Neurospora crassa OR74A: one gene and its partner. The protein of the gene in region 1 purifies or fractionates together with the protein of each later gene. This does not show direct contact. Links are inferred from orthologs where the notes say so. Each region holds a gene or a part of one and is shown on either strand. Other genes may lie near its edges. The genes, in order: NCU07438 and NCU02510.

Region 1 (4,480 bases):
AAGATCCAATGCTCCGTCTTGTCGGTTTGATGCGCTGTTCGTGGGAGGTTTTAGCAGCTGTCATTCAGTGTGCCTGCCGCCGCATACCTACACTAGTAAACGACGCGTGACCACCCCCAGGCGACGTCATTGTCTTACACCCTCTCTTTTAGGCCCCTTGTACGTGGTACGACGACTACAGGTTTCTTCCTATTTATTCCCTTTTGCTCATCCATCGTTTTCTTTTATAAAAGAGACCCTTCTCGACCTTCAAAACCTTCCACTTCTACACCTTACCCATCTTCCTGCAAGACGATATCGAAAAAGTTGATCAAGACTCCTCTCAGTTGTCTCACTACGACCCACTCCTCACGAACCATCAAGACAAGTCATAACATCAAGACCATCACAATGGCCGGCGGCGACGATCTCAGCAAGAAGGAAGTCAACATTCTTCCCCACGACACCCAGAAGGACGAGCAAGTACGTTACCATTTCCTCCCTAGTCTGGTGCCTTGTGTGAATCACAGAAAACAGAAAACTGACTCTTTGGCCAAACAAATAGAAGAACCCCAACAACCCCCTCAACAAGCTCGCTGATAGTGCCAAGGCCACGTTCGAGCAGGCGTCAAAGGCCATGCCCGGTCCCGCCATCTCGCAGAACATCGGCGGCGAGGAGGGCACCAAGGAGGAGCGCAGGGCCAAGGCCGAGACGCTCAACAAGTAAAGATATGGACTCGGACAAACAGGGGAATGGATGGAATGATTGCAATGACTGAATGATACACACACATACACATAACATAATTGAACTGTTTTGACAATTACTCTGATGGATCAGTCCTGTTGGAGCCTAAAGTGACTTTGGTGGTGGAATTGCGCCCAAATGAGAGGGGTCTGGTCCTCGAAAGTTGTCTCAAATGGGAGCAATGTTAGCATGTGAAGGTAGGTAGGTACTTTCATGTCATCCCATGTTCGTACATACCTACACTACTTTCATCCTATATCAACCTGAGCCATATAACCTCCAAATGCACATGGAAGTTGTTGTCATTGCCAGTTTCAACATGTCCCTCAAACACCCAGCTCTCGGAGGAACCGTCTCGTTGGACATCCATCATCACGGCGGGCAAGCGAAAGGTCGGCTGTGCAAGCGGCGGGCGGGAATAGTGGAGGGGTTCAGTTGAGGGATAGGTACCCACTGTTAGTGGACACGGACAATTGACGCCCTATCCACCCCCGGCACAATGTCATGACGCTATCTGGTTCATGTCCACAAGTTGGTCGCTTCCCGTCGGAAATTGGTCATTGTGGCTTGCTGGGGTTTCGTTGCCATCCTGATTCCATTCAGTCAAAGCCAAACAGCCCGGTCGTTGCCGCCGCCGTAGTGATGCAACTCCCAATCCCCGTACATAGTGTAGTTAAGTAGTGTACACTCACTGCATGCCTAAGGAACCTCTTGCCAGGTACACCCGCAATTCAACTTCCTTCTTGTCTACCTTGCAATGGGACTTGCTCCTCTCTCTGTAGTCTGTACAGCTTTAATACATTGAATTTTCACGGCAGATTATAACTAAGCTTGCCAACTGAAGGCTGCTGGATCATTGTCCGAGGTACGTTATTCCCAGCCTGCCGCCGTCTCTTCTACTCAGTATCTGCTTTTGCTCCTTTCAGTCATTGGACATCCGGGCGGCCGAGTCTTCCTTATTCCTCCCACCAACCACCAAACATCCGTGCCTCCAATACCCAGACCTACCTCTAGCTAACCGGCAACTTCCATTGTCTCTTCTAGGCTTCCGTCAACTGCTTTTATTCCTACGCGGCAAGGCCACGGAAGCGCGGAGCTTTACTTTATCTTGTACCGACAAGATACTTGGCCGTCGATAACAAGCGCCAACGACCCGAAAAGCATTAATACGACATCCCACTTCCGACTTGCTACCTCACCCTTCGGTCGACGTTGCCCCCCTCCCCTCGCCGACCGACCCGCCGACCGGATCAAGGCACGACGACTCAGCTTCATAACAGTACCTCTCGGCGCTGCGCCCGCCGGCCGAGTCCTTCTACCGAATTTCCGCATAACGACTCCCAATCTATCCATGCTTTGCTCCCCCTGGACGATCTAAAGGGGACGACAGGCCGCAACCTACCTCAAGCCACTTCCACGCTTCCACCCCCCATATATATTCACGATGCCGTCCATCCTCAGCGACGACGACAAGGAAACGGTCAAGCGCTGCGTGCCCAAGCAGACCAACAAGATCCACGCCGTCGCCGTCGCCAGGCTCTATGTAGCCTACCCCAACCCGTCCAGATGGACCTATACCGGCCTCCAGGGTGCCGTCGTTCTGGCAAATGATCTCGTGGGCAACACATATTGGATCAAGATGGTTGATATCTCGGTAAGTGTGAAAATGACGATTGCGTGGCTGGCCACCATTTGGCTGACATCGGACAGCCCGGAAACAGGGGAGTGATATGGGACCAGGAGATCTTCGACACTTGGAACTACAACCAGGACCGTGTCTTCTTCCATACCTTCGAGCTTGAGGAATGCCTGGCTGGCTTGTCCTTCGTGGACGAGAAGGAAGCCAAGCAGTTCCTCAAGAAGATGAACGACAGGGAAAAGAACGCCAGCAAGGCTACCAGCAAGACACCTTTCGGAGGCGCATCCCAGGCACACCACCACAAGCACCACGGTCTTTTCGGCGGTCTGTTTGGAGGACATAAGCACGCGTCTCCGACAGCCACCCCGCCCGAGTCGCCACGTGCCGCTGCACCGGCAGGCCGTATGAGAGCTGGAAGCACTAATGGAATAAACGGATACAAGCCTCCTTCCGAGTTTGCGACCCTGGATGCTTTCGATCCCCTGTGGAGGGAACACTTCGGTGACGACCTCAAGGCCCAAGGCCTCGACGACGACTTCATCCGCGAAAACCAGGACTTTATCATTGAGTTCTTGAAACAGGAGCAAGCGAAGCAGGGTATACACACGAGCACTCCTCCGCCGCCGCCGCCGCCGCCATCCGCTCCTCCTAATGGTCCCGCAATGAGAGCTCCCCCACCACCTCCTCCTGCTGCTGCTCCGCGCAGTGTCTCCGAGTCGATAACTCCATCGACCTCTAGGAGAGGGCCAGTACCCCCGCCTCCCCCTCCAGCAAGGAGATCCGGCAAGCTCGACACGGAAAACCACCAGGAACCGGCCCCTCCGCCGAGATTTGCTGTTCCTCCTCCCATCGCCGATGCTGGCAAGTTTGCCCACTCTGATCCCCCGCGACATACGCCCTCTGCGCCTGGACCTCCACCACCTCCCCGGCCGCCGAAGACGCCACTCGAAGATCAGGACCCGAGCCAGAGGTTCAGCGTTCCTCCGCCATTCACAGGCCAACGAAGTGTACCCCCGCCGCCTCCCAGCCGTAGCTCTGTTCCTCCGCCACCGCCCCCGAGAAATTCAGCTGCGCAACCTCCTCTGCCTCCCAAGGCACCGGGACCAGCACCTCCCCTCCCGCCTGCGAGCTCACGGCCGCCCCCCATGTTGCCAACTAGAAGCCCGGCACCACCGCAGGCACCGCCTCTCCCGACCTCGAACGCGCCACCTCCGCCGCCTTTACCGGCCACCCAGGCGCCTCCACCACCTCCCCTTCCCGCAACCAGCGCGCCTCCTCCGCCACCACCGGCACCGCCAGCACCTCCGGCGCCCCCTCTACCCGCAGCACATGCTCCCCCGCCGCCGCCTCCCATGCCACCCATGCCCGCACCATCAGGCGGCGCACCGCCTCCGCCTCCGCCTCCTCCACCGGGTGGTATGGGTGGTGTCCCTCCCCCTCCTCCTCCCCCTCCTCCAGGTGGTATGCCTCCACCGCCCGCCCCTGCCTTGCCACCTGTTGACGGCAGTCGTTCGGCCGTGTTGGACGGCATCAAGACCGCGGGAGGTATCAGGGCGTTGAAGAAGGTAGACAGAAGCCAGATTCGCGATCGTTCCGGTGCTGCTGTTCCTGGTGGCTCCGATAGTGGGCCCGCAAGCAGTGGATTGCCGCCCGCTGGAGCTGCGCCGGGTGGCGGTGGTGGAATGGCGGATGCGTTGGCGTTGGCGTTGCAGAAGAGAAAGGAGAAGGTTAGCAAGAGTGGTAAGTATCTGGATTATCCCTGGCTTGTGAAGTGTGAGAGCATGTCGAGAATGATGCTAACACTGGTGGAAAAACAGATGATGAAGATGATGGTGATGATTGGGACTAAGTGCCCGATACCAACAATGACACGGTGAAGAGCCACCGGAAAACAACAAGGTTCCAAGTAGGAGAAGAGTGCAAAAGGAATGAAAAGCAAGACTGGAGAGACACCGATATCCAACCATCATCCATTCATCTGGTCGTTATTTGGCCATAGAGGAGATGATGACGGCGAGGATGGGCCGTTGCTGGAACAGGAGGAGGAAGAAGAAGAAGGAGAGGAAGGGGAAGAGGAAAGCTGAGGGGTGGAAGGAAGGAAGGAATGAAAGAAA
Region 2 (4,364 bases), about 1.9 Mb from region 1:
GGAGGATCTGAAGTTACCGCTTCTTGAGGACCAGAGGGAGTTTGGGGCTCGGCGGCAGTTTCTGGGCTTTCTCCGGGTGGGCGTTATTCTGGTATTGGTTTCGGGGGAAAAAAAACACCAAATCCAGGATTTGTAGATGCACCATGATACCTCTTATTGGCGACTTCGTCAATTTAGCTTGATCTGAATCTACAGTCGAGCTGCGGCCTCAGAGACCGACCGGCATCATGCCGGCTTACCCTACCTTCATGAACCTATGTGAAACAAGGATATCTCGTCCTTTGGCCTCTCGAGTAGATCAGTTCTATCCCAGTGACAACTTGAACAGCCAGCCACCCATCATCGGCGCGTGGCGCTTCATCACTTTTCGGCTATGGCTGTTTTGCTCACGATATATATATATATATTTGACATGTGCAGACTCTGTGGCATAGATACGGCATGTCCTTTGGCGCCATCGAGTTATTTGGAAATTTCTAATTGCCCTTGGTTGAAGGTACTAACGGCTGGCTCTACATGATGGTTATCAACCGTCGCTGGCTATCATTGCTCAAAGAACGAAGCAGACGGGCCACCTAAGCACCAAGGACTGCATGATCATTACCATTGGGATGGAGTATGTACGGATACCACATCATTGTTGCAACCGCTTGGCATTTGTAATGCTGCTCCGACCGTAGGGGAGTCTTGTGGACGATAATGCCAGTGATGGGGGTTGTCTCCAATACTATCTCCGTATGGTTACTACACCAAGCACAGCTGCTGCGTGATGCTAGGTAAAGGGGCATGTTTTCTAGCTTTGTAAAACTCCGGAGCACGTTGGAATCTCTCCCTGAAGTCAAGTAACAGAGGGTACCTGATACGAACCATGTAAAGTGGCACGTTTGGACCATGACACGTAGTAATCAGAAGTCAATCAAGTCGAAGAGCTCTGATTATGAAATAAGATATCATACATGAAATTTATAACAGACCATGAGCCTCTAATGATCTGGCCAACATGAAAAGCAATAAACCCTGCCATCCGTCTTTCCCTTTCGTTTCCCTTTTTCATCCCACAGACATTCGCAAAAAGCCATTTACATCTCTCATCTGTATGGGTTGTTTTATTCTCCAGGTCATTGAAATCGTGGCATATCAGCAAGATTGTCGTCCACCATGAGACAGCCAAGCGGAACAGCATCAACAGGATCCAGTTAAGGGGTACCTGAAACTCCAGAATCCTGATGGTCTTCACTGTGTAACATGAAGAAACCGGATGCGATCCGTCCAGGATCATGGATGCATGGAGAAACTACCAGGGTAGCCCTCTAGAAGCCAAAACCGGTAGGCTGCGGCACAAAACCGTTGGTTTGTCCGTAAGGAGCTGGGGATGCCTGGCCGGGGCCGGCAGTGATCATAAGCCGGTTGCCAAGAATGGGCGTGTTGTCCTCGACCTTCTCCTTCTCCTGCTCCTTAGCCTTGCGAGCCTCGTTGTCGGCCTTCAGAGAAGCGAGCTCCTTGGTCTGCTGGCAGAGCATGTTGATCATATAAGGCATGGTAAAATCATTGAGACCATTGCGCCAAGAAAGCTCCAGGACAAGGTCGGGCCTGATGAGGTCATAGCAGGCATAAAGCATACCAACGTAGCATTCGCGGTTGCCAATGTCAACGAACTACAGAGACAAATGTCAGTAAAGGAAGCCAACGTGACTTGATGAGCTTGAAGACAAGAAAAATAACTTACGTAGCGCAGAAGCTCCTCGACAACTTCCGTCTTGCCGGAGATGGCGGCCGTCTCAATAGCATCCTTCCAGAGCTTATCCTGCTTGGAAAGGTTGATGGACTTCTCCCAGCGCTTGTTCTTGCGGTAGATGCTGGCAGCAATTTGGCGGAAGAAGACAAGGTCGTGCTTCTCCAGACGACCGGCAAGGTCCACGGCGTCGTAGTTGTCGTAGTTGTTCACAGAGTCGCGCAGAGTCTTGTAGTCCTCCTCCTCAATGAGAAGATCATTGATGGCGTCGTTAACGGTCCGCTTGTTCTGAGATTGGACGCTAAGGAGGAAAGGCTTGATCAGGGGCAGGTTATCGGACTTCTGGAACATGCGGACAACACGGTTGACATCGATGCGCGGGGTCAAAACCTGGAGAAGATCGGTGAGCAACGAGGGATGTTGCTCCAGGTAGAAATTGATGGCCTTGTAGTAGATTTCAAGGTTGGCCACCTTGACGGTGATCTCCTTGAACTGCTGGTGCTCCCAAGAGTTCTCAGGGCGCTCCATAACGGCGAGAGCAGCATTGTCAAACTCATCGTAGTGGTAGTAGCAGAAGACCAGCTCAGGCCACAAGTTGGCTTCCTCGCAAGCACGGATCATCTTGGGGAGGTTCATTCTGCTCCAAAAGAGTTTGAGGTGCTCCATAAGGCGCTCGGGGTGGTATTTAGACAGCGCAATACCCAACTCGGTGAACATTCCCATGTGGGCGCGCTCCAATCCAAGACCCTGCTCGAGCAAGCTGATGAGCTCATCAAAGTAGCCGTTTGTCTCGTACTGCTTGACAAGAGCCTGGAGTTGCTCAGCATCAACAATAAGGTTGAGACCGCAAATCTGAGCAAGACGGAACTCCTTCTTGTTGACGCAGGCCTCGTGGACCTCCTTCCACACCTTGATGTTGTTGGCCTTGCGGGCGCAGTCCACAGCCGCCTGGTAGTCGGACAGGTGGACAAGAGTAGTGGCCAGCTTAGCCCAGTTGGAAATGCTGGTGTAGAAGATTTTGGCCGCCTCAAAGAAGCCCTCGGCGTACGCCTTGTCACCAGACTCCTCAACATTGGCAACATTGGTAGCACGCAGGAACTCTTCAAGCTCAGGAAGTTGATCGAGGCGGGCGTAGCAGAAAGCAAGAGCAGTGTCAATGACAGGCTCCCGAAGGGTCTTGCGGGCCATACGGAGGTACTTGATGAGCTCTTCGTTCTTTCCAGCAGCAACGGCAACCTCGATCACTTCCTCGTAGTTCTTCGGATCCTCGGCCTTGATGTAAGATTCAATGGAATCGCTGACGCGGAGACCATCAAGCTGAGCCTTGGCAACTTTGCTCCAAACCTGAGGAATATCAACCTCCTCGGCGTATGCTTGAGCACGGTCAATGCTAACGACGTGCTCAACAAGAACATTGACAGCGGCCTCCTTGTTGTCAATCTTCTTGTAGACCTCAAAGGCTTCCTCGTGCAGGCCAACCTCAATACAAACATTAGCAATCTCGTCGGCGGCGAAGTTGTCGAGCTTGTGAATGTAGTCCATCACACGGGCCTTGTCAGCCTTGGCGGCAGTGAAGATAAGCAAGTTCTGCAGGTTCTGGTTGTCGCTGAAAGGCGACGGCTCCAGGACAATCTTCTCCAGCAGCTCAATAAGCTCGCCAGGCAAGTCGGCGTTCAGGAAGCACGTAACAGCCTCGGAAACCTTGGCGGGATCAGTCGACTCAGGAACGGCCGTCGAGATGACTTGGTCTACGACAGAACGGCGGTGAACGTTGTTCTCGCTGAGCACAAACATCCAAAGTTCCCTATCAGCGCGCTCCAAAAGATACCTCGCCTGAGCCTTGTACATCTGGTTCTCGTTGGTGATGTTCACGAGTTCGAGATCATTCTGGCCCTTGCGATAGGCAATATAGGCCAAGTTGGGATCACGCTTCTCGCAGTACTTTCCAACAGTGAGGGTATCATACTGATCGTTCTCCTTGAGGAACTTCTCTGGGTTGTTGTTGGAGTCAATGTATATCTTGGCGAGAGCGTTGTAAACAGCCTGCTGCTGGTTACCGGCAGCGAGGGTAGCCTCCAGGAAGGGCAGGAGTAGCTTAAGGCGGTTACGAGTCTCAACCTCCTGCACCAGCTCATCGATAGGGATAGATGCGGGGTTGACCGTGCTTAGGAGATTCCTGATGATGCTTTCATCACAGTCCACATCGAGCAGTCCTCCGATGACACCAGGAGTCCTGCTCGGGTTGACCTGCTGCACGTAAATCTCAATGGACTTGAACTGCTGGTGCTGGTACAGGTAGAGAACCAGGTCATGAACAAAGTTGAAGCGATCGCAGACAACCATCAAAGGAAGCATCTCGCTGAGCTTGGCCTCCTTGAGGAAGTTCTTCACCTTCTCGGGGTTGTAAACGCTGTTGTCGCGGCAGATACGCTCAACCTCGCGAATTTGTCCCATCTTGGTGGCAGCCTCAATGTACTTGAATACGACTTCGGGGTCCTCGGTGACATTGACGACACTGGCAAGGAAGTAGTAAAGACCTTCAGCAGTCTTGTACTTCTCAAAGAGATCAATCAATTGCTGCGCGCCGAGGAGCTCCGCATACTTGGTTGCGACTTGAACGACAGTCTGGAGA

The links.
Region 2: the proteins of NCU07438 (region 1) and NCU02510 purify together in Saccharomyces cerevisiae (affinity purification with mass spectrometry, with the first as the bait; 3 studies listed by BioGRID). This does not show direct contact. The link is inferred for Neurospora crassa OR74A from reciprocal best matches to the Saccharomyces cerevisiae genes LAS17 and CHC1.

Annotation. Positions count from the first base shown.
Region 1 is NC_026501.1:624,982-629,461, forward strand, and holds the start of NCU07438 (WASP-like protein las17p), read left to right. Parts: upstream 1-1,370; 5' UTR 1,371-1,592; intron 1,593-1,771; 5' UTR 1,772-2,171; coding exon 2,172-2,381; intron 2,382-2,437; coding exon 2,438-4,106; intron 4,107-4,183; coding exon 4,184-4,215; 3' UTR 4,216-4,480. Other genes in the region: NCU07439 (hypothetical protein), read left to right, coding at 391-462, 545-706.
Region 2 is NC_026501.1:2,558,371-2,562,734, forward strand, and holds the end of NCU02510 (clathrin heavy chain), read right to left. Parts: coding exon 1,727-4,364; intron 1,656-1,726; coding exon 1,311-1,655; 3' UTR 757-1,310; downstream 1-756. UniProt on the Saccharomyces cerevisiae protein: Clathrin is the major protein of the polyhedral coat of coated pits and vesicles. In yeast, it is involved in the retention of proteins in an intracellular membrane compartment, presumably the trans-Golgi.